Callithrix jacchus: one gene and its partners. The protein of the gene in region 5 purifies or fractionates together with the protein of the main gene of each other region. This does not show direct contact. Links are inferred from orthologs where the notes say so. Each region holds a gene or a part of one and is shown on either strand. Other genes may lie near its edges.

Region 1 (3,978 bases), on a different chromosome or scaffold from region 5:
CCCAGCTCGGCCTCCCAAAGTGCTGGGGATTACAGGCGTGAACCACCATGCCCTGCCATCACTCAATACTTTTTAAAGGAATTAATAAGTCTATCACTCTTCTACCGGACAAATCCCTTTCATATAGAAATATTTTACCATTTACTAAATGCTTATTCAGTGCCTGGCATTGTACAGCCCAACCAATCTCCTCTAATTCCCCAATTTATCTCCTCTGCACAAATGAGACACAGAGAAGTAAAGCACCTGGGCCTTGCACCGTGGCTCACACCTGTAATCCCAGCACTTTGGGAGGCCAAGGTGGGCGGATCACTTGAGGTCAGGAGATCAAGACCAGCCTGGCCAACATGGTGAAACCGTCTCTACCAAAAATATAAAAATTAGCTGGGCATGGTGACATGTGCCTGTAATTCCAGGAAGCTGAGGCAGGAGAATGGCTTGAACCTGGGTGGCAGAGGTTGCAGTGAGCCGAGATCGCACCACTGCATTCCAGCCTGGGCAACAGAGTGAGACTCCATCTCAAAAAAACAAACAAAAAGAATAAGTCAGGTCAGCCTCTGGATGCTGCACTGACTTTAGGAACAGGGAAGGGGTCATGAGGCAGGAAAACAGGTGAGAGACACTAATGTGAGCTCCGTGCCCCTCTCTGCCTGGGTTCACATCCTGGCTCTGCCATTCGTCTGACCTGAAACCGGCCACTTCACTGCTGTGTGTGCCTGTTTCCTCATCTGTCAAATGGGAACAGTACCTATGGCACAGGGTCATTCTAAGGCTTATGAAAGGCTACTCTATCTACAAAAGCACTTAGTAATCCTTAGCATCTCTATTAAAGGAACAAACCCTGGTTTACCCCAGGAAGAGCTCTGACCAGCTGATTCTCAGATGCTCTGCAGAATGGATTGTCTTATTTAAGAAAAGGTCTTAAATATCCACTCACGTGTCATGTTTACTGGCCTTAGATTGTCATACGGAACCACCGTCAGTAGAGACATGGGGTCCTGTGGTCACCCTGGGTGAAAAAAGACAGGCTTCTTTTTGCTCTAAAACAAATCGATTTCTATCTTCAAATGGCTCCGGAACAGCATTAAGAGGAAGTGTAGACTCCCTTCGCTCACACTCCTGACCTCCCCACCAGACTGCGGTGGGGCAACCTTTAGCATTCAGGAGCTCAGCCCTGCTTCCGCCTCCCTCCTTGGTCACCTACATAGCGGTCTCTCCCCCACATGTATGAAGACACAGACGCACCTCTGCAAGAGGTGCCCCCTGCCCATAGGACAGGGAGGTCAAAAGTGACTGTTTTCCTTATCAATTAACCTTTCATTTTATCCAATAAGAACATCCATTCAATCTGATTTGGGCCTTAATGTTCCTTTCTATTTCCCCCTCCCTCTCAATGAGCAGGAAACTAATTTTTAGCCATGATTCTGGGCCAGGAAGGTATCAGCTATTCATAAACAACCTCACGACCAAGGAGCTTTGATTACTATCCCCGTTTAACAAAAAAAGGAAACTGAGGCTCAAAGAAGTGAAGTCACTTGCCCAAAGCCATCCAACCTGTAGAGCTCCAACTTGAACCCAAACTCCTCTGACTCCAAAACTCCAGGGAGGCTGGCGGCAAGCAAGACTCCCCCTCCTCCGCAGGGAACAGCAAAGGAACCGCAGTACCACACACAACTGTCCCCAGTAACTTCCTCCTTCTCAGGAGCTGGTAGGCGGACTTCGGCCTGGAATCGCACCCCTATTCCACCCAGCTCCAGAGGGCGGGAATGGGGGAAAAACTCCCTGCGTCCTCCTGGGACTCAATACCCTTCCCAGGAGGCTGCAGGGTCCTGGACCATCCCAAATTAAACAAAAGGCTCCAAGCGAAAAGCCCCCCACACAGTAGGTGCTCGGTTTCCCAAAGCAACCGAGCCAGTCGCCTTGCTCCCTTCTTTTCCTGTAAAGTAAAATCAACTCCATGAATCTTCAAAACAGGAGGAGTGGGGCACAAGGTCCCAGGGGATGGGGGTCGGGGTGCGAGGCCAGGACAAACCCGGGGTAGATGGAGAGGGCGCAGCCGCGTGGGGACCCGGGGCGCGAGGGCGCCGCCTGGCTCACAGTGGGAGCCATTCAAACGCGGTCAATGAATGAATGAGACGCGCGGCGGGCGTCAGCGCAGCCGGGAGAGGGCTCCGACCGCACCGCCCGCGGGGGCAAGGTCCAAGGAGAAGCGGGGCGCGACGGAGAGGGCGCCCCGAGGCCCGGCCGCCCAAACCCACACTGGCCAGGCCCGACGGGGGCCGCGAGCGGCAGGCCCCGAGGCGCAGGCCGGACCCCCTCTTCCCGCGCGCCAGCCGGCCGGGCAACCCCGGAGGCCGCGCTCCTCGCAGGCCCGCCCCTGGCGCCAGGTGCGCGGCGGCCGGGGCAAGGTGACCGTGGGCGCGGGCCCGGCGCCCACCTTCTGAGCCGCGCGCACGTTGTCCTCGCCGAACAAGCTGCTGACGCTCTGTGAGAAGGTGTTGACTGTGCGGCGGTAGCTGTTCTTCTCGGCACCGCCGCGGCCCCGCGCCCCCTGCACGCCAGCGGCCAGCAGCCCGAGCAGCAGCAGCAGCAGCAGCAGGAGCCCGGCCCGGGCCACGGGCCCCCCTGAGGCGCGCGCGCCCATGCTCGGCCGGCGGGGTGCAGGGTCGCGGTGCGGGGTGAGGACCGGGCGCTGGGCCGCCACGGGCTCCGGCGAGGACAGGGTTGGCGCGCTCGGGGGCCGCGCGCCGCACGCCGCGCTTTTACCCACCGCCGCCGCCCGGCCGCCGCTGCGCCACCCGCCCCGCCCCGCGCACAAAGGCGCGACGGCCCAGCCCACGCCGCGCCCCGCCCCCGGCGCGGGACCAACGCGACCGGGCCCCGGGGCCCCGCGCCCGCCTTCCGGAAGCCAGCCCGAGCCGGTGCGGCTTCTCATCATTTAAAAAAAATAATTCTCTTTTTAAACTTATCCGTGGAAAAGCAACCCGTGCCTGTAAAACTTGCAGCAGCTTCAACCGGGTGACTGCTGCTGATTGGAAAACAGGAGGTAGATGTATATGTAATCTCCCTGAATTTATTATAATAGTACCCCCAAAATTGGCCATCGTGAGCATCAGCTCATTCGTTCTCCAAATTTTAAGCAACAAGAAAGCGTCAAACATCCTCCTGCCCTTCCTGAACTGTATTTCTGAGCCCCAAAATGGATGGGGAGGAAAACTTTCTTTTAGCAAAGTCCAGCTAATACATGAAGATGAATGAGTCAATTCCAAAGTTATTCGGCACCCCTCAATGGAATCATGGATTCACGAGACGATCACCAGAAAAGGGTGAAACCAAGAGGCGAGGGTTTGGTGGGGGAACTTGAAAATGGAGGGGCAAAAAAAAAAAAAAAGAAAATGGAGGGGCCAAGCCGCGAAGTCCCGGTCCCGCCAATCGATCTTAGTGCCAGGAAGTACCAGCGCCACCTGCGATGGAGTCTTGCCAAGACACGTTAAGCAGGAACCTGATGGGGCCTCTAGATCAAACCTACAGTTTACAGGAAATATGGGAGATAAGGGAAACGCGGAAACAGCAGAAGCAACCAGCCAACTCCAGCATGTGGGGCATTCTACGAGACAGGGACCCAGTTTGTTCAATAAATAAGCGCCATAAAAGGTGAGCGGAGAGGAGGATAACTAGTCTTAAAGACTTAGCCGCAATAACCTATGCAATGCAAGGACCCTGTTTGCATCCTAAATCAAACAAATTAAGTCTAACCAACATTTTTTTAGACAACCAAGAAAATAAAACTCAATTTTTGCCAATCCAAAGAATAAAAAATGCTTTCTTTTCTTTTTTTGAACTTACATTTTCTGGATTCCTGGTAAGGTTTTCATGGATGTATTGGCCATTTGAGTTACTTCTGTGAATTACCTAGTCATATCCTATGCACACTTTTTTCCTGTGTTGTTTATATTTTAGAAAACTTTTTTGTAGGCT
Region 2 (4,095 bases), on a different chromosome or scaffold from region 5:
CTGAGATGTCATCAAAATATAATATGTACTAAAGTTCTACATAAAATTGTGCTTAATGTACCAGGCCAAAAAAAAAAAAAAAAAGAGGCAGAAAAGCTGTGTATAAAAATTTTGATCCTCCATGTTAACAGTAGCCCAGGAGCCTGCCTCTATGGAAACCAAACACTGTTCTAAACCACATAATCACTGGTTTTTATGTCTATTTGTGTTCCTAATTCTTGCTTTTATTGTGAAAGCAGCAACAGAAAATTTGCTACATACCACTATACAGATGGCAGAAGTTAGTCTTCCTAATTGCCTAGTTCATACTTTTAACTCATTTCATGCAAGCGGGGTGGTTAAACATAACCTGTGTTGTAACAACTGTACTCTGAACGCTAACTGCTGCATTTAGGCAAATACCACCACCTGCTTAAGCAATAGGGAAATCTATCTCTACCCACAAGTGTGGTAACTCCTGTCATACCTGTCTATCTGGTATGGGGGCTTCCCTAGGAATCACTCACCTGCACAGATCTGAACGTAGTAATGAAAGGCAACATGATATGATAGCCTGGTCCACTAGGGCTGGTTAGTAACGCTCCTCCCCTGCAAAAAGATGTTTCAATTTGACAAAATCATAAAAAGATAAATTATCTTTCCAAATCTAAAGTGCTATAATAAATACCCACTCTTACTCATGCTACTGACCTACTAAAGCCTCACTAACATTAATTACTCATAATGAACAACTGCTTAAAATACCTCCACACCTAAAAAGGCAAAAAGATCAAACTGAATTGTCAATGTTACACCTTGTTTCGTAAGCTCAACTAACCGCACCTCTGGGTCTCCAGCACTGCCCTTAGGTTCAAAGGATTCTCCTTGGTCTTTAACTTTCTGAGAAATACTTGTTTAAAAAATTACAATGGCTTTTAACAGAGGTAAATGTACCTACAGCAACTGTACACAACAAGAACAAAATCAAAATATATAACACATTTAATCACCAGGTTGAGAAAAAGACAACACAAACTTTAAAGAGAAAATTTCTGAGGCTTATAATTCTTTCAATCTACTGGCAAGGTAATTAAAATATTGGGAACATAAAGTTTCTATATAAAAAACAAAAAAAAATAGCATGAAAAGATGAAGGGTGGCAAGACCATATAAATAGATAGGATAAGGGCTTGTTCACCAAATCCTGGAATGTGAGAACTAGGAAAGCAAGCCCTATAAGGGCACTATAAAAAGGAGGTATTTGGGGAGCAAATAAAACAAAGAAGTCCTATTTTGCGCCTTGTAAATTCACAGAACTTAGCTTCCTGTCTTGAAAATATAAACACGTTGGCAAAGTCATAATAAAGAAAAGATGAACTGTTTTAGGTTCATCACTAATTCTTTGAACCATTCGTTGAAATGTCCTTTCTCCGGTTTTACTATCAGACAATGCTAAACTGGAAGGAAATCTGGGCTGATCTGTAATCTCTTACTCTAGAGGTCCGTCTGCTAAGATATACCACTAAAATTGTTCTTTTTCTAGGATTCTGGATGGATCTGAAAGAAATATCAGTTTTGAGGGATAAAAGAAAAAAGCAAAAAGTTGACGCTCTTTTTCAATACACCATTATTCCAATTTCTCCACAAACTGGCCTCTCTCTTACTAGTCTATATCAAAAGGAACTTGTGGTAATTAGGCTGAAGGAAAAGCTAAGCAGGCTCAACAAGAGAGCAACAGCTTCCATACCACTCCTGTCCCCAACCTGAACAGAAACAGTGAGGAGGAGGACGGCCCATCGGTGTTGTGCTGATGTCCCAGGAGGTGCAGGGATATAACAACTATCACTGTTATCACGGTGTTGTAAGACGTAACCAGACACTGGAAGCTTTTAAGCGAAACAGTCTAAAGAACAACCATAAACAGAACCAAATTTTCTGTACACCGTCTATAGTGGCAAACTAAAGCCTGTACAGTTGCACGATCTATAATTTATCCATGTCTTCAGTCAGAGGTACAAAGACTACTTCCTTTCTTCCTTCTTCATTTTTCTACAAAATAAAATTGAGTTTGCTGTGTATAGACTCACTGTAGGGAGACTTAATCTCTGCAAAACGAACATAGCACTAAAACTGTCAGCACCTGGAGGGTGCTCAGCAAAAGCCCTCTTCGACCCCCGTGCTTTCCCTAGAGATGGGACGTGCGTCCCCGAACGCTGCAGAGGGAACAACTTCCCAGACTCCACTCTAACGTGAGTACCCTTCTATCTGCTCTAGTGCTCGAACTGACTGCACATGCCGCTCACCTGTAGTACACAGCCAGGTGGCCCTCCTCAATCTTGTGGATGGAGGCGTAGAGCAGGACAACCACCAACCCCACCACTGCAGCCACCAGAACCCGGGCTTGAGTCATATTCATCCTCGTTCCTCCTGGGAGCGAGAGAAAAAGACCCTCAGTCCCGTGAGTGACAGGTCCACCCCCTCCAGTTTCCACCCTCTCCCTCCGGAAACTTGGCGCTCTCTAGCAGCCTGAGCCGGGGAGTCCAGTGCCCCAGTCCCCTCATTCTTTCCTCCTGGCGGAGCCCGCTGACCCCTTGCCAACTTCTCCGCCCCAGGCGGTCGGAGGGCCGCCCCTGCTCGGTGAGCTTCCTGTCACCCCCTCTCCCAAGGGTCGCTCCCCGGCGGCAGGCACTAACTAAGGAGTGCAGCCTCAGGCTTGGGAGGAAAGCTGATCCCTCGGCCGCGCCGCGCCTTACCGATCAGTGACGCATCGCCCCCGCCCGCACGTGCAGCCGACTCCCGTGCAGAGCCAACAGCCGCCAACAGCCGGCCCCGCCCACTCGCCCAGCACTGCGGCTGCGCGGGGACGCACAAGGCGTAGCCCCGGTCCGCGACTAGTGAGACGGGGAGCGCACGGGACAAAATTCTCCCAGCCGCGCGGCTGCGCAGGCTCCCTTGAAGGCAAGTCGCTTTTCTGTACACTGCTAGTTAACTGCTCGGAAGAGGACAGTTGGGGGTCTGGAGTGAGCAGCGAAGCAGAGAAAAGGAGAGGGCCTTTCGGACAAGGTCGGTTTGTTCTTGTGTAGTGAACCCACTCGCTCACTCTCAAGCTGTAGCTGTTCGGTTTGTCCTTTTGCGGTATATGGGGAGCCCCACTGTGTGGCACGCACGTGCTTCCGGCACAGATCCTGCACTTCAGAAGCAACCAAACTTGTTGCAAGTAAAGTGCTGTGAAAGTTAGGAAGAGAAAGATGTTAAATATAACTGCATCATTCTCTTGCTTGTGTTCCTATTACGTGCTAGAATTCTGGTCCAGTGAGGGCTTTTATGAAGGTCATCCAGGCAATAGGAACAGAATTGCTAAGCACATGCGGCGGGAAGCGGAGGACTGTCCTCCAGGGAGACCAAAGTAAGTACTTCAGTTTCCTTGAAGGCTTGTGTGTTGGAAAGGAGTGCTATGGTAGCCGTCACTACATATTCTTCGTTCGTTTTACATTCTAAACCATGTGCACATATTGCCAAAAATAAAAAAGGCAAGGAAAAAGGTATAGGTGGGAGATAGATGAATACAAGAGAAATTAAGGGCATTAATGGTGTAAGCCTTGAATGGCTAGAGGTGGAACCGTAATGGACAAGGTAGACTAGGGTTGGAAAGTCCTCTAACGGACGGGTGGGTTTGTGTTGGGGGGGGTGGGGGGGTGGGAATCGTTTCGGATGAAACTGTTCCACTTCAGAACATCAGGCATTAGTTAAGATTCTCACAGGGAGACCGCAACCCTCGCATATGCAGTTCACAATAGGGTTCGCGCTTATATGAGAATATGATGCCATGGGCTAATCTAATAGCAGGCAGAGCTCAAGGCGATAATGCTCGCTCGACCGCTGCTCACCTCTTGCTGTCTGGCTAGGTTTCTAGCAGATCACTGTATGGTAGTGGTCCCGCGGCCCAGGGCTTGGGGACCCCTGAACTCTTGGGTAGGGAAATATGGGAAAGCAGTGCTTTAAGGCCAATGAATCTACAAAAGGGCTGAAAGTGGAGACAGACTATTGGCAAGCGAGCCAGGTGGTTAGGAAACAGCAGGCCTAAGGTTACTTAATAGTGGAAGTGAGAAAAGGTAA
Region 3 (3,987 bases), on a different chromosome or scaffold from region 5:
GCCTGAAATAACAAAGCAAGGGAGTGGGGAAAAATTGGAGGGTGGATTTTTCCCCCCTCATCTTTATCCTTAACTAATGAAGGGTGTATTTCTTTTTTTGAGACAGAGTTTCACTCTTGTCACCCAGGTTAAAGTGCAAAGGCTCACACAACGCTTCCCGGATTCAAGCAATTCTCCTGCCTCAGCCTTCCAAGTAGCTGGGATTACAGACATACGCCACCGAGCCTGGCTCATTTTGTATTTTTAGTAGAGATGGGGTTTCTCCATGTTGATGAGGCTGGTCTCAAACTCCCAACCTCAGGTGATCCACCCGCCTCGGCCTCCCAAAAGGCTGGGATTACAGGCATGAGCCCCCGCACCTGGCCTGAAGAGTGTATTTCTAAGAAAGTATCTACCTGCCCTTAGGAGGGCTTGATCTTATACTTTCCTGCTGCTCCAATGTCTGCACCAGCCTCCTTAGAGGCAACCAAGGGCTGGGGGATGGGCACAAGCAGCCTCCCACTTCCCAGGCCACTCACCTCTTCAGGGCACCCACAGTATCCTCTGGCTTAGCCACAGCCAGCTCCTCGGTATCATTGAGGAATTTGAGCCGCACAGTGATGAGGCCGGGGCTGGGAGGGAGGCAGGTCCTATCCTCAGACCTCAGGGGGGCCTCTGGACTGCTGCTGTCTGCACCTGCTTGTCTTTTGGGCAGGCCTTGGATGTCAAGGAGATGCTCAAGGCTGGGCTCAATACCACCCCCAGCTCCAGCTTCCCCTGTGGAGTCTCCCCCACCTTCGCCAGCCTCTTCAGCCTTCTCGTCATTACCCTCTGATGGATGGGGGAGTTCAGTTGGCTCAGGGTTGCCTTGGCCTGCCACCAGGTGGTCCACATGCCCCAGGTGGAGGACAGACGTGTCGCCTGCTGACACAATAGCGCCCAGTAGCTGGTTGCTACCGCTGTCTGCTACGTAGGTAGAGAGCCAAGCTAGGACCAAGGCTAGAATCAGCACCACCACACCTGCCACCACCATCACCTCATTACCCACGCCCTCAATGAGGGTGACATCAGAGAGCTCCATGGCCTGGCTGCTGACAGGGTCCACGCTGCAGGAACAAAGGGGGATAGCATCAGCAGAGCCTGAGGGTTGCAACCAGGTCTCTAGTTTGTTTAGGTTCTAACTGACCCAGCCCTGAAAAAAAAAATGGAGTTCAGTGTTCTGTAGAATCGGGTACAAACCTTCCCAATTCTGGCGCCTCAACCTAGAGCTGAAGACCTACCCTTTGCCTCTATTGTGAAACTCTTGCTTTCAGGTTCTGTGATCTTCCTCTCTCACACTTTTTTTTTTTTTTTGATGAGAAAAACCTTTGCTTCTTTGAGGCTTAAGTTTCTCTAGGATTTCTAGCACTTGGTCAAGCAAATATGCCTCCTAAGCAGCCTCCAAAGTGGCTTCAGAGAGATCCAAAAGCCTGGAATATTTTCAGATTGAGAATGAGCCACCCCTACTAGATTGTCTCATTTGAGCCTATTTCATTCCTGGTCACAGATCCAGGCTGCCCAGATGTCAAGAGCCAAAGAAAACTGACCTATCATCAAAAGCAGAGTCAGACAACCTCAATGGGATAACTCTGTAGGGGCTGTGAACAGACACTATGCAGCAGACATGATGTGCCGCCTCTGAAGCTTCTGGCAACCCCTGGAGAGCAACGTGGGACAGACACCAAAACACCACCCTCCTGGGTCACCATGGGCCCACTCCTGCAATAACCACTCCCCAAGTGGAAGTGATTTGAAAAAGATTCCCCAACGGCTCTCGCAATCCACATCTCAGTCTCTCTTCTTTCACCGTGAAGCCTCTGCTGCTGCAGTTTCTTAGCAAGACAGGAAGCATCCCTGCTTGCTGCTTGGAGTACCTACTATTTCCCTTGGAGAATCTGCTGCTTTCACAGCTGTCCCTGGGCAAATCCATTATCAGACTATTCTCACAGCACCTATAAAACTTCATTAAACTTATCTACCTGTCCTTTCTCTTAGACTCCTGGTAGACAAGGATCGTATGTATTTCTCTTGGTACTGAAGTGTCCAATATAATGCCCCAGTAGTTACTGAGTATCTGTGGAACACATCAACATCCTTATTTAATATACCGGCCCTGGAGTTAGAAAAACAACTAATTATAACCCCAGTCTTGCGTTCTACTAGCTATGTCAACTCGGACAACTTTCTCAGAGCCTCAGCTTTCTCATCAGTAAAATGGGGTTAAAAATAGTACCTACCTCATGAGGTTGTTTTGAAGATGACGTGAAATCAACGAAGCAAAATACTTAGCACAGTGCCTGGCACATTGCAAATTGCAATTGCTCAATAAATGGTAGCAATTATTTATCACACCCACAACTAACCCCTGATGGTAAGAAGGTTAATTGTCATTAACCATGATTTACAGAAGAGGAAACTGCGGCGAAGAACGATGAAAACGACTGGCACAGACACAGGAAACTCTCGTGGGGAGGGGCCCGGCAGGACCCCAGGTGTCCGGCCTCAGAGGACTTTACTCTGTCCTCAGCCTATGATCTACCCTGACCGTACTCAGACCGCGCGGTGAGGAGGGGTCCCGCACCCTGCTTTTTCTGAGGCGAAAGTTCCGCGTTTGGATGGTCCTATTCCAGCGGCGTTGGACTGGGGTCCATAAGCCCACCCGAACTGAAGGGCTGCCTGGTCCCAGCCGCCGTGCCAAGCCCAGCTCTCCCTGCCGGTGAGGGGTAGCGTCGGATAAGGGGGTCACAAACCGTCCACACCCCTCAAACTTCGGGGCGGGGCTGGGAACTGGGGGCGGGGCTTGAGGACGCGGGGAGTCATGGGAAATTAAAGGTGGATTGGACCAGCACTGTGCCTAGATGGGGAAGCTCTCACCTGAAAAGCCCAGACTAAATGTTTTGACCTCGCCAGGACGGCCCCTGGACTCGTCTTTCCGTAGGGTTCGGGGAAAGGGCTGGCAACCCGCGATTCTGTTCAGGGTCCGGTCGCTTCCGGCTTTTCCCGGAAGCTGTTAGAACCAGGGACAGGAAGTCCCGCCTCCGCGCCTTGCACTGATGACGCAAAGATACGGAAGGCGGGCTGACGTAAAAGGTATTCTTTAAATAAAAGGGACAGGTTTCTCAGCGGAAGCAGGGGTGGAGTCATTGTTGGCGGGATTGCGGCCCTCCTGGAGCTGGGCCACGCCTTGTGGGCGGGGCCTTAGGCAGTCTAGATTGAGGGGGGGCCAGCGGGGAGGTGCTTGGGAAGGGGCGTGGCTTTGCGTCTGCGGAAAGCTTCCTCCGCTGGCGCTGCTGGGTAGAGGCGGTACGGCGTTTCCCTTTCAGCTTTGTTCTTCCGGCTTTGCTGTCTGCCTCCGGGGCTGGTTGAATTCGTTACTGCTTTGCAACGCGCACCGAACTCCAGGTTAGCGGGATTAGTAAGAACTCAGCTCTGGGCCAGTCGGGAAGGCAGATGAGGAGACGAGTTAGTCGGCATCCAGTGCTTGAAGAGTGCGGCCCCAGCTAGTGTGGGACCTGGAGAAAGAAGGGGAGAAAGCATTTCAAAGGCACAAATTCAGCGCAGGCTTAGGGCACAAAAAGGGGGAAAAGTCCAGCTTTCAAGAACTTATCTAGATTTTTGCAATTAAATTTTTTTCTAAAAACGTACTGGGGCCAGGCTGGGTGCCTTACTCCTGTAATCTTAGCGCTTTGGGACACAGAGGCAGGAGAATCAGTTAAGCTCAGGAGTTCGAGGCTGCAGTGAGCTATGATCTCAGCCACTGCATTCCACCCGACAGCGAGGGCTTCTCTCAAAAAAAAAAAGTGCTGGAGTTTGGGGGTTTTGGAGAACTACTGATTGAAGGTTAAATAATGCAGACGGAGCCGGGCGCGGTGGCTCACGCCTGTAATCCCAGCACTTTGGGAGGCCGAGGTGGGCAGATCACGAAGTCAAGAGATCGAGACCATTCTGGTCAACATGGTGAAACCCCGC
Region 4 (4,034 bases), about 60 Mb from region 5:
TATCTTCCAGAGGTCCCCAGGAGTCAGAGGCTTTTTCCGGCTGCTCAGACACAGAAAAAGATGAAACAGATCGACAAATCTTTATTAACAGAAACAGACAGATGGATCGAGAATGCAACAGGGGCTGTGTGTGTATTTATGTGCATGTGTGTGTTTGTGTGTGTAAAAGGCCTTCTCCAGGCCAGGAAGGGCCCCTTGGAATTAGGCCCACCTGTCTAGATCCTCTCCTCAGTGGTGGGTCCTGGGCTGAAACCAGTTTCCCCATCACACCTCCAAAGAAGGAATGGGGGTCTTTCTGGGATGGAAGACTCTGACTTCAAGCATTCTTCACATTACTCTGGTTCCCCAGCTGACTTTGTTGCTGAGGGGGCTGGGGACAAGCCACAGGGGCACTTGCATAGCAGGGGAGTAGAAAGGGGATAAGGCATATGGTGAGGACAGGGGAGAAGGGGAAGGGTATCATAGCTGCAGGTGAAAGGGGCCTCCAAAGGGCAGCTCCTCTTCCCCCTCAAATTGCTGCTGGATTGAGGAGTCAGAGTGAGACAGTATAATACCCTCTCCCAACCTTAACTCCAGAACCCGTTTGGTGGGGAGGGGGTAGGAAGCTGTGGAGCTCTGGAAAGGCCTGAGTTAGTGAGTCAAGCTTGTGATGTGTGTTTGAACACAACTGGCTCCCTTGGTATACCAGGGGCTCCCTCTCTGGATGGGTGTGAGTGCATGGTCCTACTGTACGCACAGGTCTCAGTGTCTATATGTGTCTCATTTGTTCCCATGGGTCTCTGTTTTTGGATACATAAGCATGGATATCCCTGCTTATACAGCAGGAACTCAGGATCTGCATGGTGTGAGTATGTCCCTGTCTGTAAACATGGGCTCCAGCAAGTGGATATATGCGGGCCTGCCCGCTCCTGTCCATCCACAGGTCTTCCTTCAGGCCTGGCTGGTCAAGGGTCCTGGCCGAAGAGGTAGGTGGTGAGCTCAAGCCGGAGGCCCCGGGCATAGGAGCGAAGAGTATAGAAGAGGGTGAGGAAGTCCTGGGTGCTGAAGACAGTGTCAGCCAGGGCAAAGGCCAGGGTGGATGGGATGACACCCCGGCCGTACTCCACCATCCATGTGTTTGGCCCCCACTCCACAGCCGTGGCTTCACCAGGCCCATGTACTACCGTCTCTCCTGGGGGACAGGGAGCACCCGAGTGAGGAGCCTAGCTCTGCCCTTCCCTTTCATGGCTGCTGTTTCCCTGGCCCATGGGCTATCTAGGGGTGGGGAATGGAGAGGGAGCTTCAGAAAAACAAAAAGCCCTACCTCACTGGGCTGGCCGAAACGGCCACTCCTACATGTTCTGTGACATCACCTGGCCTGTGTCCTCTCTTGGGGGAAGCCATGGAGGGCTACCTTGCCTGGCCATGGACCCATTGTATGCAAGTCTGCATTCCCAAGCCTCACTCAAATCAAGCAGAAATTAAGCCAAACCTAGTCTGGGCTGTAGCTAGGGAAGGGGTAGTTCCAGGACTTGTGAGGCTTTATCTGAAAAGTGTTGCTGTTCAACCACCATGCCCGCGATGCATACACCTGACATCAAACATACTGGGAAGTCCAGTGCGCTACTTCTTAATTGTTTTACTATTAAAAAACAGAAAAGATAACTGTTTGTCTTGTCTTTGGGGTATTGAAAGCATTTCTGATTACCCACTGTCTCCCCAGCAGTTGCTGGAATATTGGCTGGGTAAAATTGTGCCTGGGCAGACAAAAATCAGACATGATTAGCAGGAAGTTATGTTTTGTTTCCTTTTGACAGAGGAAAGCACAAGTCTTTCCTCAGCTCTGCCCCAACCAATCACCTGTGGCTTATGGGAGGGTGGAGGAAGGGAACCATAAGGAGGGCCCCCCCAACAGACTCCTTTTCCATGCCATGCTCCCCGCAATCGTGGGCACCCCCCGCGTGAAGGGAACCACTTCTCTGACAGAGCCTCCTTACCCACCTGGGTAGAAAACCTCACTTTTGGTAGTGCCCTCTCTCCACTGGTGGAAGGTGCCAGAGATGATGGTATCCGAGATCTCAGCCCAGTAGCGCCCTGAGTGACAATCACATGGACACTATCAGAGTATTCGCGCCATCGCAACGGCCCAGCCAAACATCAGAAAGGAGGGCATGGGCCCCTTTACAACCCCAGCCTCCCAGGCCAGACCACCGCTAGCACTGACCCGAGTGGCCGCGGGAGCCCAGGGCGGTGCCGAAGAGCAGCACATACTCGGACAGCGAGGCGTGCAGAAGGCACATGGCGCCCATCCAGCCGCCTGCATTCACGAACACCCACTGCAGCTCCTCGTCGGGCAGCACATGGCCTGGGTGCAGCCGTCGCAGCTCCACGATCAACCGAGAGAAGGCTAGCTCGTGGTCCAGCCCTGGCGGAGGGAGAGGGGCGGTGGAGTCAGGGCCGGCACCGGTCCTCGGCCCAGTAATGGTACCTTCGGAACCCTGGTCTCGGCTCCCGGACCGGCCGCTCCCCTCCCCGCTCTCTGCCCGCTCACCAGCGTATTGCCGCGCCAGCTGCGCGATCTCTTCGCGCTGGAAGACGAAGCTCTGAGTACCAAGCCAGAGCCAGACGACCTGGGTCAGCACCGCTGCGACAGCCAGGAGCAGCGCGGCCCGCGCCCACAGCCGGCCCGCGGCCCACTGCATCCCGGCGGGCGGCCTGGCACGGCGCAGCGAAGGATGGAGCCGAGGCCTGAGGCTTTGCGCTCACCGCCTCGGAGCCTGCCGGCTGCCCACGACGCGCTCCCCCGCCACCGCTGTCGTACAGCTCGCCCTGACCAATCGGAGCGGCCTGGGCACCTCGGCACCACCCGCTTCGGTCGAACCATTTCCTCGGGGGGAGCGCGGAGGAGAGGGGCTGCACCGCGCACAGGAGACGAGGGGGCGGAGCGAAGTCGCCCAGCTGCCAGAGGCAGGGTTTTCAGGCGTGGTCTGACCTAACGCCACTCTATATGGGGATAGAGATGGGGGTAGTGAGACCCAGAATGGACTAGTCCACACAAGCTCACTGGCTGGTGAAGAAGACGAGCCCGGAAGTGGAGCCTTCTGGGACTCACGATGGTTAAGGCCCGCCATAACCAGCACTTAAACGGAGAGGAGGTAGTTCAAGCTGGGGGCCCTAGGGTGGGCATACCAGAGGCGGTGACACCTGAGCTGTGTCTTTAAGAGCGCGGAGAAGGGGCATGCCAGCCCACAGGGACAGGCCCCTAGAGCAAAGGCCCCCGAGGAGAGACAGCGTGGGGTCTTCAGGGCCCTACAATTCCTTCTCTGTTCTGCAGCACAAAATGTGAGAGGAGGCCTTGTAAACCAGCTGTGGGTTATCAGCAGGGGAGGAAAGGGATTAGATTTTGTCACCGAGTGGCACAGGACTACCGAGTGGAGGGGAGCAAGATGAGGCAGGGAGACCATGACTGTGGTCCAAGTAAGAGAGAAGGTCTGTAAGTGGAGATGGAAGAAAGAAATGAGCTTAACAACTCTGGAAATGGATTTGGCAGGGCTTGATCTCTTCTTCCTGGAATACTCTTCCCCCTTTATCCTATCCCCACTTTTCCCTTATTTGGCTAACATCCTTTGCATATCTAGCTGGCAATCGAGTGTTGAGGTCTGGAAGCCCAGATCCAGTCTGGAGATAGAGCTGGGAGTTATCATTCATTCAGGCAACAGATGTTTTGTTAGTACTTGTATGTGCCAAGTTTTGTGGTGACCATTAGGGATATGGCTGGAAACAATGGTCCCACTCCCCATTTTAGAGATCTCTCTAGGAGTCTACAGAATACCTCTAAGGATGGATAAAATCTCCCAGGGAGAGAGAATAGAGTAAGATAAGGCTTAAGACAGAGCCTGGGAGAGCACCAACAGCAAAGGGTAGGCAGAGGAAGAAGAAAGCTAACAGGAAAACAAACAAAAGAGAAAAGAAGCAGCATAGTGAGGTGATTAAGAAATAAACTCCGGCGCTGGACTGCCTGAGTTCAAAGCCTGGCTCCTACCTACTAGTTGTCT
Region 5 (4,199 bases):
CCTTTTTTCAGAGCCATTTCTTCAGACCAGTGGCCTGAAGAACACACTTATGAGGATGCCAATTCAGATACTTCTTTAAAAGGACATTTTTAGGGGGGTGGGGAGTTGGGGAGAGATAGCATGGGGAGAAATGCTAGATATAGGTGATCGGAAGGAAGGCAGCAAATCACACTGCCATGTGCATACCTATGCAACAATCTTGCATGTTCTTCACATGTACCCCAAAACCTAAAATGCAATTTAAAAAAAAAAAGGAAATTTTTAGGTTGTGAAGTTCTAAAAACTCCAACAAATTAAGATCATTTTACCAAGCACCTGGATAACACCTGAATAAGCATTTTGCAACTTTTTTTTTTTTTTGAGACAGAGTTTCCCTCTTGTTACCCAGGCTGGAGTGCAATGGCACGATCTCGGCTCACCGCAACCTCCGCCTCCTGGGTTCAGGCAATTCTCCTGCCTCAGCCTCCTGAGTCGCTGGGATTACAGGCACGCGCCACCATGCCCAGCTAATTTTTTGTATACTTAGTAGAGACGGGGTTTCACCATGTTGACCAGGATGGTCTCGATCTCTTGACCTCGTGATCCACCTGCCTTGGCCTCCCAAAGTGCTGGGATTACAGGCTTGAGCCACTGCGCCCGGCTGCAACTTTTTTTTTTTTAATCTTGGGAAACACAAGCAAGTCAATAAACACAGGCAGAAAGTTTTGGCTCAACCCTAACCTTTATTTTGTGGGGGTGGGGGAGCAAGTCGGCAGAACTGGGTCATAATATGGAGCTTCTGCTCCCTAAGACAACATAAACATTCCTGAGCATTCTAACAGCTGTTGAAAAAGTGATTTAGGTAGAGCTTTGTAATGCATAACATTAGGAAATAATGATATTTGATTAGAAAACTAAAGCTATGCTAGAGGCCAGGCATGGTGACTCACACCTGTAATCCTAGCACTTTGGGACGCTGAGGCAGGCAGATCACTTGAGGTCAGGAGTTCGAGACCAGCCTGTCCAACATGGTGAAACCCCATCTCTACTAAAAATACAAAAAAATTAGCTGGGACTGGTGGTGTGTGTGAACTGGCAAGTCAAGTCTATAAGAGGACTGGTTTTATTTGATGGATGGAAAGCTAGCCTACAGACTGCAAAAATTCTCTCACGTCTATACACATATTGCTGAAGAAAGGATTCAAGAGGGGGTTATGTTACAGGGAGGAGAAGGCTGTTCTGAAAGGCCTCAAGGGGTCCTTTCAACTGAGACTCCTCAATTCTGTGATTCAAAGAGTTCACTGGCTTCTCCTGGTCAAACACAAAATCTCCAGAGGCATTTCCAAGTTGTTCTTAGAAAAAAGCTACTATCCCACGGGGTGGGACCCAGTTTACTTATTCATTCAACAAACATTTAAGGTACCTCTATCAGATATTGGGTCATTCCAAAGTCCTTGAAAAAAAGGATGGTGCACAGGACAACCAGGAAGAGATTACATAAGGTCAGATGCATTGGCCTTATTTACAGGACATGTAGGCCAAAGTGATGGAAGTGTCAAGAAAAGAGAGAAGAAAAAGTCACATTTGTCCTAAGAGCAGAGTCAGCACCAGAAAGATGCAGAATAACTCCTTAGAATCACAGACTTTCAAGTTGGAAAGGACCTTCATCTAATACCTATATAACTCCCTCTAAAGGAGGCACAAAGGCAATCCATTCACTCCATCGCTGGTCATCTCTGATGATTCTTTCATTTAAATTCTTCTATTAAGCAAAAATCTTGTCTTCCTGTAGAACTCACCTGTTAGTTCCAGTTCTGCCTCTTTTAGCCCCAAATATGAAGTGGAAGCCCTCTTTGCCATAATAATTTTTTCAAATTTTAAAAAGTTAATTCCCTTCCAGTGCTCTCTTTACTCAACTAAGTTCTTTCAAAGTTCCTGAACTGGCACCAGCTGCCTCAAAGGAAAGAATGGATATCTAGTGCTCACAGCAGGAAAGCACTTAAAATCAATGCACTTCGAACATCGGTATAGACACGACCTACCTAGGCACAAGCTCAAAAAGCAGTTTCTTAGGTTCCAACTCAGATATTAAACCAGATATCTGAATTGAGTCCTGCACTTTAATGTAAAGCCGGTATCTCAGAGAATTTCAAAGCAGATGGTGTAAGAACCGTATTTTGAGAAACACTGCCCCGTTTTACACACAAGGAAACTGAGGCCCAGCACAGGGAAGAGATTTGGCCCAGAACGCACAATTGTCTGTCGGAGGCGAAGTCTCGAATCCAGGTTTTTTACTCTCAGCCCAACTCTGTTCATCCCGTTCCAGGGCCTCTGCTTCTCCACTCAGGGCAAACTCGTGAAATGCACTCCTAGATCATAGAGGCGGACTCGCAGGGGCGATAGAATGGGAATCAGTGCCCGTGCCTCGAAAGGAGAACTTGTGGGAGTCCTTCTCTTTCTCAAGGCCTCAGTTTCCCCAATCTGTAATCATGGGACGGAGAACCACAACGCCAGCTCGTCCTCTTTTCGGGGGCGGAGACACGGCCGGTCTTGCTGTCTCCGGGCCCCTGGGCTCAGGTGTTGAAGCCCGTGTGTCCTGGGAAGGCGGACCCGGATCTCCCGGCCCCGTCCCTAAACCGCGGCGGCCCCCGCCCCAACCCCAGCCCCTCACATACCTGCTTCCGCGCAGTTAACACCGTGGGGGCCGCCCAGTGTACCACTTAGTCGGCTAAACGGCCAGTCCTACCGCCCAAACTGTTGGGTAGGACCTCCGACCCCTCCTACGCGGACTCCAGTCACCTGACGCGGAGCCGCCCCTTTCGGAGGAACTTCCGGCCCCAACCGGAAGAAACTGATGCCCAGGTCCGAAGCTGTAAGGTTCCGCTTGCGGGTAGGAAGCGGAGGAATCTTGGAGCTCCTTGGCAGCTTTTTAAAGAGCTTGAGTACCAGGCTCTCAAAAGGAAAAACTGATTCCGGCCGGGCGCGGTGGCGCACACCTGTAATCCCAGCACTTTGGGAGGTGGAGGTGGGTGGATCACTTGAGGTCGCGAGTTCGAGACCAGCCTGGCCAACATGGTGAAACCCCGTCTCCACTAAAAATGCAAAAATTAGCCGGGTGTGGTAGCGCACATCTGTAATCCTAGCTACTCGGGAGGCTGAGGCAGGAGAATCGCTTGAAACCTAGAGACGGAGGTTGCAGTGAGCCGAGATCACGCCACTGTTCTCCAGCCTGGACGACAGAGCGGGGGCAGGAAGAAAAGAAAAGAAAAAGCTGATTCCGGAAAGTACCAGATAAACTTGAACATCTTGTTACACAAGAATATAAGGATGATGGTAATAAGAATCGTGGGAATGTGTCAAAGAACACAGGAACTGTCTTTAAGGAGATCCCACTGGCCAAGTCAGGGCAATTTCAGAATCAAAATATGTAGTGATAGTAATAGAATATAACTAATTGAATAAAATAGTGATTCATGAGTCTTTGCAGACATAAAGAAGTGAGTATATTAATGGACGAAGGGAAAGTCTTCTTTTTAGTAGAATGCCAACTAATAAACATGGTGGAGTTAGAAAATCAATAATGTGTGGTAAAACTAGAGAAACGGGATGTTTAAAACATTAAAAGTGTCTCCCATAAATTGCCTATTGATTACAAAGTGAAAATGGTGATGTTACAGAGGTGTAACCTAGCAGAACAAACAGATCAAAGTGATCGAAGTTAACACCACTAGTTAATGGGTCAGATCAAAGGCCTCCTAATAAGATGCACTGAGGACACATCTCCTCTGTGGTATTTCTGTCAAAAGTATACCACCTACATCTCATGAGGAAGCGCTAGAGAACACCAAATGAAGGACACTCTACAAAATAACTCATTGTCATGAAAAACAGAGAAAAGCTGAGGAACTGTTCCAGTTTAAAGGAGACTAAAGAAGCATGACAACAAAATGTGATGTGTGATTCTAAATAGGACCCTTGACTGGGGTGGTGGTGGTCATGGAATAGTTGTAATGGACAATATTGGGACAAGTAATGAAATTTGAATATGGACTGGGGATTAGCTTTAATACATATTGTATCAAATCACATACTGGTAGGTGATGAGCTTGTGATTTGCACCCAAGCAGTCACTGGAGTTCTTGACGGCCATCTTCATTCATTCAGCAAACATTTATTAAGTGCCTACAGGTATCCCATGAACTGTTAAAGATTGGGCCTGA
Region 6 (3,942 bases), on a different chromosome or scaffold from region 5:
CCTGCGCAGGTCGCTCCCTCAGTCGGTCTCGGGGCCCGGGGGCCAGGCTCCCCCCGCGGCCTCCTCATCGGCTGGCCGCCGAGTCCGCCATCTTCCCAGCAGCCCCTGGAACGCGGCCGGGACACCAATCCCGGAGCTGCGCTCGGCCAGCGGAGACGTGGCTCCCGGCAGGCACTGCGAGCCAGGGAGCCGCGAGCCCGCCCCCGGGAAGTGCGCGCGCGACGCCGGGGGCGGGACCACGGAGGCCCGCGCCGAATCCCAGGCGGAACACCCAGAAGGGATAGCGGTGGACCAGAGCGTCCGGAGCAGTCTGTACCCTTCTCTCCCAAGCGGCGAGGGCTCCCCGCCCGCCACTCCGCACACACTCAGACACACTGCAAGAGTGAAAACTTCACAGTTACTTTAATCTGCACGGGTTCCGAGGAACTCCTCTGCCCCTCCCCGCTCCCCTTCACCAGCCTCCCACGGTCCTGGCGTCCCCAACTCAGCCCATGGTGCTGTCAGGGACTGGAGGCGGCTGGGTCCTCCGGCAGCACGTTAAGACGGGCCCGGGGGGCGGCCCGTCTCTGCCCGGGGCCTAGGCAGCGACAGCAGGTCCCTGACCCCGAGGAGCCGACTCCCAGTGCTGGCTGAGGGCCAGCAGCCCCGGGAGGCGGCCCCGAGCCACGGCGAGCGCAGGGCTGGGCCTCTGCCAGCCCCGGGAGTCCTCTGCGGTGCAGGGCTGGGCTCCAGGGCAGCGGGAAGAGGCAGGCCGGAGAGGCGGGCCTGGGCAGGCAGCAGCTCCCGCCACGGCGCGGGGAGCAAGGTCCAGAGGAGCCAGCGATGCCGCCAAGCGCCCGCGGAGGCACTACGGGCGGTACATGGCAAAGGCCAGGAGACTGAGGAGCAGGGTGAAGCCGGCCAGGCCCAGAGTGGCGGTCAGGGGAAAGAACGGCCGGTACTGGATCTGGCAGTACCAGAGCAGCAGCAGCAGCAGGAGCAGCAGGGGCAGCAGCAGGCTGCCTATTTCCAGCCCGGAGGGGCCGGGCTCGGACCCCGGAGGGCAGGGGGGACTTGGGGGGCCGACCCTCGTGGACACGTGGCAGTGGAGAACGCAGTTGGGAGGGAGGTGAAGGCTGCCCAGGGTCTGGGTGTCGTCGCCTAGCAGCTGCCCTTGGTAGATGAGTCGCACCTGCTGTTCCCGGCCGGGAAACTGGGTCCTGAGGAGAGAGGGACCTGGGTAAGAGAGCAGGCCTCAGGCAATCCTAGTCCCTGGTCCCGGAGCAGCACTCCCACCCTCCCCCTGCCCTCCGCACCGCACAGGTCCTGGCTTGGGAGGGGCCATCTGCCAGGGAAACAAGTGTAGTTGTGATGTGGGGCGCTCATCGCCTCCAGTATAAACGAGGGCTGGGTCTCAGACCTCTCTGGGAGCCTTCTGCTACTAGTCCCCCCATCCCTGTCTTTAGCATTGCTCCTGCCTCTTGCCCTGCTTACCTTTTCAAGGAACCAATGGTGTCGTGGGGCCAGGCCCTGGCCACCTGCTCTGAATCATTGAGGAATTTCAACCGTAGCACGAGGGGCTCCTGCGGGGAGTCCAGGGCTGGCTGTGTCGGTGTTGCTGTGACCCCAGTGCTGGGCTCTGGCTGTGCAGCTTGACCTCTGTGTCTCAGGCTGGGAGTCTCTGGCCCTGGGGCCTCCCCTCTCATGCTGTCGGTAGCTGCCATGGCTGCGCTGGGCTGGGCTGGCGATGGGGTCCCTGACAGCTGGGGCAGTGGGTCCCCGCCCTCAGCGGTGTGCGTTGAGACCCAGGCAAGGGCCAGCACCAGAAGGCAGGCAAGCACCGAGAAAAGGACGGTCACCTCATCACCCACCCCTTCAATCAGGGTCATGGCGCTTGCCTTGCCCGCCGCACTACCGAGCTGGAGAGGCACAAAGAGCCCGTGAGGCGCGAGCCCCCCGGGCTAGGGGCCCTAGAACCTCCACAGGATCCTGCCCCCACTCCACCGCTATGATCCCACCGTCCTCAGCCCGTCCCCTCACCCACCCCAGGGTACCGGCTGCTCTGCCTCCCAGTTGCCCCAAACTTGCGTCCGGGTGCCCTTTCCCATCGCCGAATCCCAAGTCCTAACTTTCTGTCATCTGAGCTCGAGGTCTTCAACCAGCTCCCAGCTCACCTAAACCCTATCTCAAGGTAAGGGCCCCGACCTTCTAAGCAATGCCTCCCCTAAACGTCACCCCGACCAAACTTCACCCCCAAGCGTATCTATTCTCCGTCCACTTCACTCTAGTGTGTCTACTCCTTCACCGACTTCACCCCAGGCTCATCTACTCCGTTGCTAAAGTTTCTCCGAGGTAGGGGTAGAGCCTCTGTATCCCCATCCCCCCACCCACAGCGTTACCGTTCACCCAAACCCCACCCGCGGCACCGGACTGCTTCCCAGGCTTCTCCCACAGCAAACGTCAAACTCGCCCCTGGGCAATCTGGAGCCTCCGAGCGTCACCACCCACCCAGCTCGGCCCCCTCCTGATCCCCTCAACCCCTCTCCCCGGAGGCCCAACTCTGCGCCTCCTCTGGAAGCCTCTCCAAGCCCCGCAGCTGCCAGACCCCAGATCCCGCCGGGAATCCGAGACTTCGCGCTCCCCGCCCCCACCCCTTGTCACCCCTCCCACCTTCCCGCCCCCCGGAGCCGCAGGAGGGCACGGCGATCCGGGGCAGCGCGGGCGGGGCCCGGCTGGGGCCCTGGGTGGCGGGGTGGGCGCGGTCGCGGCGCGGAGACTCACCGCCCGCGTCCCCCTGCTCCATCGCGGCCCCTCGGGCACTTCCGGGCGGGAGGCGCGGAGGTCATAGGCACCTGAAGCACCCCTCCTTCCCCGCCGCCGCAGCCAGGGGCATTGTGGGACTTGTAGTCCGGCGCCGCGCTGTCCCCGCCCTCTGCCCTGCGGACCCACGTGCGGGGCTCTACCGGCGGTTCCCGGCGTCTGCAGATCGCTGAGGGGCCGGTGGGGGCGGCTTTGTAGGGGAGGGGGTTGTGCTACCCCCTAGGGATTTGGACCGCAGCAGGATCTGCCCCCTCCCCCTCCAACAGCCAGGGCATCTGTTACACCAGATACCTACGTCAGCTGGAGCTCGTCAGAGCGCGGGTGTTCGTAATGCAGTGAGAAAGGCTCTGAGGAACTCAGGGGGCCCCTACCCTTCTGTCAGACTGGGCGCCAGAAGGCGCTTTGGCTACCGAAATTAATTTTTCAGCCCAGAGCCCAATATCCATGGGCTGCCCCACCAGGCTGGCTAGGGATACCCATCCTCAGGGCTGCCCCTTACCCTGGTCCCGCTCCTCAACCTTGCCCCTTCAGGACTATCAAAGAAGCATAGACTTTGGAACCTGGCACGAATCCTGATCCTTTATCCTGTGTTTATCAGCTATATGACCTTGGGTGGGTTATTGCATCTCTCTGAACATTAATTTCTTCCTTTCTAAAGCATGCTTTGTAAGTCATCCATAAGGAAGAAATTAGATGATTTATTCAAAAAAGGGAAAACTATGTAAGGTACATGTCACACAGTAAATATTTGTATTGGTACACTCCCTTTACCCAAACCTGGGCTCGGGAATTGGGTCCTTGGTGTGTTACTGTGTGAATGGTGTTGAATCCCAGGCCTGTGGATATCTGTGGATTTTTCCCTCTGGGCTCCTGCAGCCACAGAGATCTCACATCCTGGTTTTTACAGGTCAGTCTTGATTTAAAATAATCTATCCTAGACTTCCCATAGTTCATGTCTACTTGTGGGAGCAAATATTGCCTTAGGAATGTCAGTCCAGATAGATACCATACAGAACTAACCTATCTCTAGTTCCTTCCCTCCTGTTCATTCACTCATGTTTTCAAAATATGTACTATGACCAGGCACGGTGGCTCATATCTGTAATCCCAGCACTTTGGGAGGCTGAATTGGACAGATTACCT

The links.
Region 1: the proteins of RNF185 (region 5) and BRI3BP purify together in Homo sapiens (affinity purification with mass spectrometry; 3 studies listed by BioGRID and IntAct, with this or other methods). This does not show direct contact. The link is inferred for Callithrix jacchus from reciprocal best matches to the Homo sapiens genes RNF185 and BRI3BP.
Region 2: the proteins of RNF185 (region 5) and ERLIN1 purify together in Homo sapiens (affinity purification with mass spectrometry; 3 studies listed by BioGRID and IntAct, with this or other methods). This does not show direct contact. The link is inferred for Callithrix jacchus from reciprocal best matches to the Homo sapiens genes RNF185 and ERLIN1.
Region 3: the proteins of RNF185 (region 5) and TMUB2 purify together in Homo sapiens (affinity purification with western blotting; 3 studies listed by BioGRID and IntAct, with this or other methods). This does not show direct contact. The link is inferred for Callithrix jacchus from reciprocal best matches to the Homo sapiens genes RNF185 and TMUB2.
Region 4: the proteins of RNF185 (region 5) and SIGMAR1 purify together in Homo sapiens (affinity purification with mass spectrometry; 3 studies listed by BioGRID and IntAct, with this or other methods). This does not show direct contact. The link is inferred for Callithrix jacchus from reciprocal best matches to the Homo sapiens genes RNF185 and SIGMAR1.
Region 6: the proteins of RNF185 (region 5) and TMUB1 purify together in Homo sapiens (affinity purification with mass spectrometry; 5 studies listed by BioGRID and IntAct, with this or other methods). This does not show direct contact. The link is inferred for Callithrix jacchus from reciprocal best matches to the Homo sapiens genes RNF185 and TMUB1.

What each region holds. Positions count from the first base shown.
Region 1 is NC_133510.1:128,182,459-128,186,436, reverse strand, and holds the start of BRI3BP (BRI3-binding protein), read right to left. Parts: upstream 2,801-3,978; 5' UTR 2,645-2,800; coding exon 2,438-2,644; intron 1-2,437. UniProt on the Homo sapiens protein: Involved in tumorigenesis and may function by stabilizing p53/TP53.
Region 2 is NC_133513.1:93,108,468-93,112,562, forward strand, and holds the start of ERLIN1 (erlin-1), read right to left. Parts: upstream 2,801-4,095; 5' UTR 2,673-2,800; exon of another isoform or gene 2,568-2,672; intron 2,407-2,567; 5' UTR 2,396-2,406; coding exon 2,283-2,395; intron 589-2,282; coding exon 507-588; intron 1-506. UniProt on the Homo sapiens protein: Component of the ERLIN1/ERLIN2 complex which mediates the endoplasmic reticulum-associated degradation (ERAD) of inositol 1,4,5-trisphosphate receptors (IP3Rs).
Region 3 is NC_133506.1:71,038,736-71,042,722, reverse strand, and holds the start of TMUB2 (transmembrane and ubiquitin-like domain-containing protein 2), read right to left. Parts: upstream 2,801-3,987; 5' UTR 2,261-2,800; coding exon 2,256-2,260; intron 2,093-2,255; exon of another isoform or gene 1,998-2,092; intron 1,172-1,997; exon of another isoform or gene 1,086-1,171; coding exon 519-1,085; intron 1-518.
Region 4 is NC_133502.1:141,502,073-141,506,106, forward strand, and holds SIGMAR1 (sigma non-opioid intracellular receptor 1), read right to left. Parts: upstream 2,801-4,034; 5' UTR 2,682-2,800; coding exon 2,531-2,681; intron 2,405-2,530; coding exon 2,204-2,404; intron 2,074-2,203; coding exon 1,981-2,073; intron 1,737-1,980; coding exon of another isoform or gene 1,684-1,736; exon of another isoform or gene 1,601-1,683; intron 1,172-1,600; coding exon 945-1,171; 3' UTR 64-944; downstream 1-63. UniProt on the Homo sapiens protein: Functions in lipid transport from the endoplasmic reticulum and is involved in a wide array of cellular functions probably through regulation of the biogenesis of lipid microdomains at the plasma membrane.
Region 5 is NC_133502.1:201,671,632-201,675,830, reverse strand, and holds the start of RNF185 (E3 ubiquitin-protein ligase RNF185), read right to left. Parts: upstream 2,801-4,199; 5' UTR 2,655-2,800; intron 1-2,654. UniProt on the Homo sapiens protein: E3 ubiquitin-protein ligase that regulates selective mitochondrial autophagy by mediating 'Lys-63'-linked polyubiquitination of BNIP1.
Region 6 is NC_133512.1:97,129,169-97,133,110, reverse strand, and holds TMUB1 (transmembrane and ubiquitin-like domain-containing protein 1), read right to left. Parts: upstream 2,801-3,942; 5' UTR 2,650-2,800; intron 1,899-2,649; 5' UTR 1,869-1,898; coding exon 1,474-1,868; intron 1,200-1,473; coding exon 848-1,199; 3' UTR 384-847; downstream 1-383. Other genes in the region: FASTK (fas-activated serine/threonine kinase), read right to left, coding at 1-68. UniProt on the Homo sapiens protein: Involved in sterol-regulated ubiquitination and degradation of HMG-CoA reductase HMGCR. Involved in positive regulation of AMPA-selective glutamate receptor GRIA2 recycling to the cell surface.